2 linked regions of the Canis lupus familiaris genome follow. The protein of the gene in region 1 binds, or shares a complex with, the protein of each later gene. Links are inferred from orthologs where the notes say so. Each region holds a gene or a part of one and is shown in the gene's direction. Other genes may lie near its edges.

The links.
Region 2: the proteins of NXF1 (region 1) and NXT1 are in contact, whole or in part, in a crystal structure (PDB 4WYK), measured with the Homo sapiens proteins. The link is inferred for Canis lupus familiaris from reciprocal best matches to the Homo sapiens genes NXF1 and NXT1. Residues at the interface, in NP_006353.2 of Homo sapiens: Ala366, Pro367, Thr368, Thr369, Leu370, Pro371, Pro372, Cys373, Lys374, Gly375, Tyr377, His411, Gly413, Cys415, Cys416, Ser417, Leu418, Ser419, Ile420, Pro421, Phe422, Arg440, Asn441, Val442, Lys443, Lys444, Lys446, Pro448, Thr449, Arg451; in NP_037380.1 of Homo sapiens: Phe6, Lys7, Val10, Asp11, Cys14, Glu18, Thr44, Val46, Trp47, Asn48, Gly49, Asn50, Ala51, Phe61, Met64, Leu65, Pro66, Ile72, Ser73, Val74, Val75, Asp76, Cys77, Gln78, Pro79, Val80, His81, Glu83, Ala84, Thr85.

What each region holds. Positions count from the first base shown.
Region 1 is NC_049239.1:54,402,782-54,406,681, forward strand, and holds the start of NXF1 (nuclear RNA export factor 1), read left to right. Parts: upstream 1-1,529; 5' UTR 1,530-1,662; coding exon 1,663-1,690; intron 1,691-3,223; coding exon 3,224-3,407; intron 3,408-3,625; coding exon 3,626-3,779; intron 3,780-3,900.
Region 2 is NC_049245.1:674,325-678,224, reverse strand, and holds the start of NXT1 (NTF2-related export protein 1), read left to right. Parts: upstream 1-1,472; 5' UTR 1,473-1,917; intron 1,918-2,318; exon of another isoform or gene 2,319-2,447; 5' UTR 2,448-2,519; intron 2,520-3,155; exon of another isoform or gene 3,156-3,175; intron 3,176-3,900.

The sequences.
Region 1 (3,900 bases):
GAGCCCCTCAGCTGCCTGCACAACCCCACCTTTGGCTGCTGGTGACTCTCAATCTGCCAAATGCGCTGCAGCCCATTTTCTCCCAATTACAGCAAGACTGTCAGCCTCATTAGCCATGTTGTCATTTCTGGGTGGGAGCGTCGAGGGCCTTCACAGCCTGTGGAGTGAGTGTGCTGCCTAGTACCAGAACTGCAAAGCTGGGCTGATGGCTCTGAGGGCCGAGCTTTGGGGTGGGTGCACACAGCTGCCTCTGGGCTGGGAACAACCAAGTGCAGCAGCGTTTCATTAGCATGGAAACGTCAGAGGGGGAAGCACTACCCCAGAATGGGTCCCTGATTGGTGCCAACTTCCAGGATCATCTCCAGTAGTACTTGTACCTGTTTCAGCTGCATCCTCTACCCAGCTGGCCCCCATTTTTCCTTGAACTGGATGACGCAGGAGCTCTGCCTGCTGCCGGGAGTGAAAGGTGAAGAACTGGTTTCCCAGCTCCAGCTGAGGCTCTTGGTCCACTCCAAGCCTCTCACCAAATCCAAGCCAGTGACAGGAGAATGAAGGAGAAACCTGCCTGCAACACCCACCCTCCAGGGAGATTAATACACTTCTGGGCCAGGAGCCACAACCACATCATTCTGAGATTACTGCGGTCCCCCCACATCTCACACACCCTAAAGGAATTTCAAGTTACAGAGAACCACCAGCATACTGAGAGCTGACCCTAGAACTTTGGCAGGCTGGAGAGGGGAAAAGGAAGGAGAACGTATGTCTTTTCTAGGCCAGCATTTTACTATTTCCTCTCTCCCTGGCCTCTGTTCAGCTGGTGGTCTCAGTTGCATCTCCACTGCCCAGCTGACAGTGAATGTATTTCCGGCACAGCACTTCAGGGGTGGGTGGGGAGGTTGTGAAGACAATTGCTTGCCAAAGCTGGATAAACGCACACTGTCAATTGACTTCTTGGAAGGATGCATAGGTTGGAAGTTCATTTATATCACAAGTGTTTGTGGAGTTATTGGCACATGCCAGGCCGAGTTCCTGAGCCAGGAGCTGGAGAAAAAAGGATGAATTAGTCAAGGTCCTTGCTCTCTCGGGGTTGACATTCTAGTTTTCTGTTGCCCGGCAATCTATAGACAAGAAAGGGTATCTATCCGGCGCTGGCAGAGGCCGGGCTGAGACTTCAGTACTGGCTGTGTGCGGCTAGGGCTCCGTGAACGGCCACTGACCACCCCGCTCCGGGAGAGTCGGGTCGCCCGCTGCTCGGAAGCCCTTCGTGTGCGGCCCCCTCCCGTGTTCCTCCCGGAGTCCCGGGCTGCGGCAGCCTGCTCTCGGCTCCGGCGCTCGCCCCGGAGGTGCTGGCGGAGCGACGGAACGGAGGGGGCAGGCGGCGGGGCGGGCCGACGCGGGGCGGGCTGGACGAGCGCGGGTCTCGGCAGGCCCGGGAGAGGCCGAGCCCCGCCCCCGGCGCGGCTGTGGCCCGGTGCGCACGCGCAGCGGCCGCGCTCCCCGGCGGCTCCGCCCACCACCGCGGACGTCGGCGGCGCGCGACGTAGTTCGCAGCATAAATGCGGCGGCGCCGGCGGTAGGAGCGCTTCGGCCCGGGCGCCCGGGTGTTCGCGCGTTCGGCGGAGTTCGGCCCGCGCCTGAGCCGGCCTCGCTTCTCGCTGCGCCATGGCGGACGAGGGGAAGGCCTACAACGGTCAGTGCTGGTCGTCAGGCGGGGGCGAGGCGATCGGGGGCCCGGTGGGCGGCGCCGGTGTAGGCCGCAGCCCCGCGGCGGGAGGGGCGGGAGGCGCGGGAGGCGCGGGAGGCGCGGGAGGGGCGGCGGCGCGGGAGGGGCGGGGGCGAGGCCGAGGCCGCCTGCGGGTCGGGCCGCACTCGAGCGGGGCGCCGGCCGTGTTGACGCGGGAATCGTGGCGTTGCGCGGAGCTTCGGCCCGGGGCTGCGGCCTGGCCGGGGGGGGGCGATTCCTTTGAACTTTGTGGGTGGTGATGCCTGTCAGTTGGATTTGGCGCCCGGACTCTGCCTTTAATAGGAGTCCGTGCCCGGCTCATCGGCTCCCTGTGTCGTTTCCCACCGCGTCCGGTCTCTTGTCCCGCGTCCCCTGCGGCCTTGGCTTTGGCTTTAGTATTCTAGACTTCCACACCGGTTCGCTGTGCTCGCCCGAACACTACGCACGGTTTTAGTCCGGAGGAGTGGTGAGGAGGAGCACATGACAGCCGGGTTGAGTCCTGAGTCGTCTTCCCCGAGCTTGAGGGAATTCCACTCCCAGGCCTCATTTTCTATCTCCGTAGGAGGTGGTGACCGTACTTACTTCCTGGGTTTGCCCTCCTGTTCAACGAGATCATTCGTATCAAGTGCCCGGGGCATAGTGCCTGGCACTGAAGAAAGTTCTCAGTGAATGTTTGCTGCGCCTTATATTCAGTTGTGGTGTTTTGTTTTGTTTTTTGCCCTCCCCCCCGCCCCCCGTCATTTCTTAAGGTTCATTGTTTGCAGAACACTAGGCATGAGGCGTTTGGGGAGTCAGGGACCTTTTTGTAAGATGCTATTCTTACACCCCAGGATTCAGAGGGTCATGTTCCAGGGGAGCAGTCCAGGACCCTTGGCTAAGCTCCCTAGTTGCCACTAGAACCTGAATCTTAGGAGTTGTCTCCTAAGTTAAAAAAGCATTTTTTGCCAAGGAAATAAACAGCTCATTCCCAAAAGTTCAGAGTGGCAGTTTGAGAACAAGAATTTTAAAGAAGCCCTTAATTTTATTTGTAACTGACGCTTGTACTCTGCGCAAGGGAAGCTTTGTTTACTGAGAGCTGATGTGATCGTCGTGATTGGTTGATTTAGGAGATGTTGAGCGAGGTCACCATCCAAGTTTTGAGAAGGCTTAAATAGATTTGGGAAACTAAGAGCAAGCAGATTTCAGGTGACTTTTCAGGGGTCTAGTTCCACACTGGGTCCATATTCTACTCACACTTCCACATTGTGCCTTTCCCGGTCTGTAAGTTCCAGTTCCTGAGTCCTTTTTCTAAAGCCCTGCCCTGTCTTCCAGTGATGTTTCGCTCCTGCTGCCATGCCACAGAGAGGGTTCTCCTCTCAACAGACAGAAGTTTGCATGGAGGTGGGCTCTGTAGTTGGTGTGTATCTCATTTGATAGCACAGGCTGCTTGCTACTGTGATTCCCACAGCAGGGTAGCTGGGCTGACAGCATGTTTCTAATGGATGTCCTTTTTAACCCCAGAGCATGATGACCGTGTTAGTTTCCCTCAAAGAAGAAAGAAAGGCCGGGGTCCTTTCCGGTGGAAGTATGGCGAGGGGAACCGGAGGTCTGGAAGAGGAGGTTCTGGCATTCGGTCTTCCCGCCTGGAGGAAGATGACAGAGATGTGGCAATGAGTGATGCCCAGGATGTTCCCCGAATACGACAGTAAGCGACCAATTGATCTGGTTTGAGAGCTCAAACCAGATTTATTTATATAGCTTTCTGCTGCCCACACCATTTCCCTTCTCACCTGGAAAAGTGAGGGATGTCAGGGCCAGTTTAATGGTTAAATAGTTTTAGCTATAATCCTGACAACAGTGTGGGAAGCCTTTGAGAAGACATTCCTAGTGTTTGCGGACATTTTATTCTCTGCTTCCCCACAGCAACCCCTATCCTCCCCGACCCAACCGTCGAGGTGACAGTTGGCATGATCGAGATCGCATTCATGTTACTGTGCGGAGAGACAGAATTCTTCCAGAGAGAGGAGGGGCTGGCACCAGCCAGGATGGGACCTCGAAGAACTGGTTTAAGATTACAGTGAGTGTCTGGGGTGCCTGGGTGGCTCAGTCAGTTTAGTGTCTGTCCTACACTTGATTTCATCTCAGGTCATGATCTCAAGGTCATGAGATCAAGCCCCACGTCACCTCTGTGCTGGGCA
Region 2 (3,900 bases), on another chromosome or scaffold:
CCACGTGGTGGGGAGGAGCACCCAGCCGAGACCCCTCCTCGGGCAGAGCTCCACGTGGTGGGGGGGAGCACCCAGCCGAGACCCCTCCTCGGGCAGAGCTCCACGTGGTGGGGGGGAGCACCCAGCCGAGAGCCCTCCTCGGGCGAGCTCCACGTGGTGGGGAGGAGCACCCAGCCGAGACCCCTCCTCGGGCAGAGCTGCACGTGGTGGGGGGAGCACCCAGCCGAGAGCCCTCCTCGGGCAGAGCTGCACGTGGTGGGGGGGGGAGCACCCAGCCGAGACCCCTCCTCGGGCAGAGCTGCACGTGGTGGGGGGGAGCACCCAGACGAGACCCCTCCTCGGGCGAGCTCCACGTGGTGGGGGGAGCACCCAGCCGAGAGCCCTCCTCGGGCAGAGCTCCACGTGGTGGGGGGGAGCACCCAGCCGAGACCCCTCCTCGGGCGAGCTCCACGTGGTGAGGAGGAGCACCCAGCCGAGGCCCCTCCTCGGGCAGAGCTCCACGTGGTGGGGGGAGCACCCAGCCGAGAGCCCTCCTCGGGCAGAGCTGCACGTGGTGGGGGGGGGAGCACCCAGCCGAGACCCCTCCTCCGGCAGAGCTGCACGTGGTGGTGGGGGGAGCACCCAGCCGAGACACCTCCTCGGGCAGAGCTCCACGTGGTGAGGAGGAGCACCCAGCCGAGACCCCTCCTCGGGCAGAGCTCCACGTGGTGGGGGGGAGCACCCAGCCGAGACCCCTCCTCGGGCAGAGCTCCACGTGGTGGGGGGGAGCACCCAGCCGAGACCCCTCCTCGGGCGAGCTCCACGTGGTGGGGAGGAGCACCCAGCCGAGACCCCTCCTCGGGCAGAGCTCCACGTGGTGGGGAGGAGCACCCAGCCGAGACCCCTCCTCGGGCGAGCTCCACGTGGTGGGGGGAGCACCCAGCCGAGAGCCCTCCTCAGGCAGAGCTCCCCAGGGGCTCGGCGGAGTCCGTGTTCCCGGCGCCCCACCTGCCGTGCCTGTGTGAAAGCCTCCGTGGGTCACTGCCTGCTTCTAGTGCTGGCTTTCCGAGATAGCATCAAGTCGTCTATTAATAGAATTTCCCCGACTGCAGGTGAATGGAGGTCATAGGGCAAGAACCTGAGGTCGCCGCACAGACTCCTCCCCATCCTCTCCAGTCCGGCGGCCTCCACTGCGCGGGACACACCTCTCCCGGTTCTTGCTCCGGGGGCGGGACCTGGGATATTTCATCCAATCAAGAAACCCACGTGACCAATCGGACCGGGTCCTATGCCTAGTTAAGCCAATGAAAACCCGACCGCTGATTTTCTGTGGCCTTCTGGGAAAGCGCCTCTCCCGGAAGCCACCGTGTCCTTTGCGCCACACCTGGGCGGGGCCAGCCTCCAGGTCCTCCGTCCGGTTGGCTGACACAGCTGCCTGTCAAGCGGAGGCGGGAGGGGGCGGAGCCGCGGGCACCGGCGTCTGCGCAGCGCGGGGCGGGCCGCGCGCGGGAGGCTGCGGAGGGCGGCTGCGGAGGCGGCTGCGGGTCCCCGGCCGGGCTCAGGGGTCTCGACGACCCTGGTGGGTCCGGGAAGAAGGGTGGCAGAGGGCGGCGCTCCCGGCCCTCCCTGAAGCGAGCGGCGGAGGACCTCCAGCCTGGGCAGGCCCGCCCTGCGACCTCCGTGGAGCCGGGGGCCGTGCGGGGCGAGCCGCCGCCCACGCGGGCCGGGAGACGCCGACCCCGGCGCCGACCCCGGCCCCCGCCGCGCAGGGAGGCCCCCAGAGGCCCCCAGCGTCCCCCGCGGCCCGCAGGCCGACGACCGCAGGCCCGGCCCGGGGGCTCCGGAGACGCCTCCCGCGTGCATCCCCGCCCGTCCGCGTCGTCGGCGCTCGGCCGGGCCCCGCCGCGTCCCTGTGCTGTGCTGGCGGCGCCGCCCCAGGTCAGTACGCCGTGCCCGGCGCTTGGCGGCGGGCTCCGTCGCGGGGGAAGCCGGGGCAGTGCGGCAGGTCCGGGCCGAGGACCCGGCGGGCGGGCGGGCGGGCGGGCGGGTGCGAAGCGCCTGGCGCCGGGATGAGGCCTGTGGCGTGGTCTCTGGTCCAGCGCCTAGGACCTGCCGACGGAGGCCTCGAGGGAAGGCGGCGGCCTCGCGGCCTCGTTCTTAGCTCACTTCCGACGTTTCTTATCCCGGATTGGATGGAGGAGGGGAGCCGTCGGCGCTGTGGGCAGCAGCAGCGCGGGGGAGGAGCCGGTGCCTCCCCTCCGCGCCGGGACCGGTGCTGGGCTGGGCTTGGGAGTCGCCCCGGCCGGTAGAGCAGGGGTGGGCAGGGCGCCCGCGGAACGACTCGAGGCTGCGGAGGGCCCGGCGCGCCGGGGAGCCCCGTGGGGTCAGGGGCCGGGCCCTGGAGGGGAGCTTCAAGCCAGCGGCAGGCCCCGAGCGGTGCTCTCAGAGACTCGACTTCCTACCTGCAGGGACGCGCAGGGTGACAAGGGAAGGACAGCGGAGGCCTGACGTTTTCAGAGGCCACCAGCATTCTTAGGAAGGTAAATCAGGCGCGTGCTTGCCGTCAGACCGTGATCCAACCCCTGTCTCCCTTCTCATTTTTAAGATTGTGTGTCCTTTTGTGGTGACCGTCGAAGGAGGTGATGTATTCAAAGTAGGCGGCAGATACCCAGCTCGCAACCTGTCCGCTGAGGCTTGACTCTGGGTCCAAAGGGGGAGTGCAGAGACCTCGGGCTGTGTCTGCTCCTCTCTCTCCTCATTTCTAGGACTGAGCTCCTTGCCTGCTCTTTACAGTTCTTTACTCCAGGGCAGAGGCCTCCTCCTTGTGCACCCTCCTCTTTCCCAACTCTTTGAAATCTTTTCTCTATTTCATGAGCTGATATTTAAAAAAAGAAGTTAAGGTCTTTGAAACAAACATTCATTAAGTGTATATCTAAACGTATCCATTATCTTAGTAATAGTCCCGTGAATTTTTTCTTTTATTTAAATATTTCATTTTTAAAAATTTTATTAAAGATTTATTTATTTGAGGAAGAGCACAGGCACGTGCACCTGCACAAGTAGGAGGAGGGGCAGAGGAAGAAGCAGGCTGCCATCTGAGCAGGGAGCAGGCTGGGGCTGGGATGGGGCCTGACCCCAGCACCTTGGGATCACAACCAGCCCTGAAGGCAGATGCTTAACCAGCTGAGCCACCCAGGTACCCCACTTCTAGTGAAATATTTTAATGATGCAAAGAAGAGCAGGGAACTGTAACAGTTGTACCATACTTTGAGACTATCAAATAATAATATTTCTTTATGCTTTGGGGCTTTTTTTTTTTTTTTTTTAAGGAAATGTGACATTTCAGCCACAGTTGAGTTTCTTTTTTTTGTTGCCACCACCTCCATCCTCAATCCATACAACTTACGTGATTCTTGTATTTATTTATTTTTGAGATTTTTATTTATTTGAGACGGTGGGGGAGAGAAGCAGAAGGAGAGTAACAAACCAATTCTGCTGCAAGCTCAGAGCTGGATGCAAGGCTGGATCCCATGACCCTGAGATCATGACCTGTGCTGAAATTAAGAGTTGGACACGTAACAAACAGAGCCACCCAGGTGTCCCAGAACTTGCCTTTCCATTTTTAACTTGTCTTTCCATTTTGGCTCACAGAACTTGCCTTGTAGGTATTTGTGCTCATGGAAGCTAGGTGCCCTCCCTTCTCATTCCCAGTAGCTGAAGGTTAGCCGTGTCATGAGGATCTTGACCACTATTTTGGTACCATGCTAGTGACATTTGTTCTCTTATCTTAGAAAACCTGCCTTCTCTTTGCTCTCCCACTATCTGTTGGGTGAGCTCATGATAGGCTTTCATCTTAGACTGTCAGCAGCTGACAAGCATATGCCTTCTGACTGGTGTTTATTGGGCCACTGCTCCCTTCAT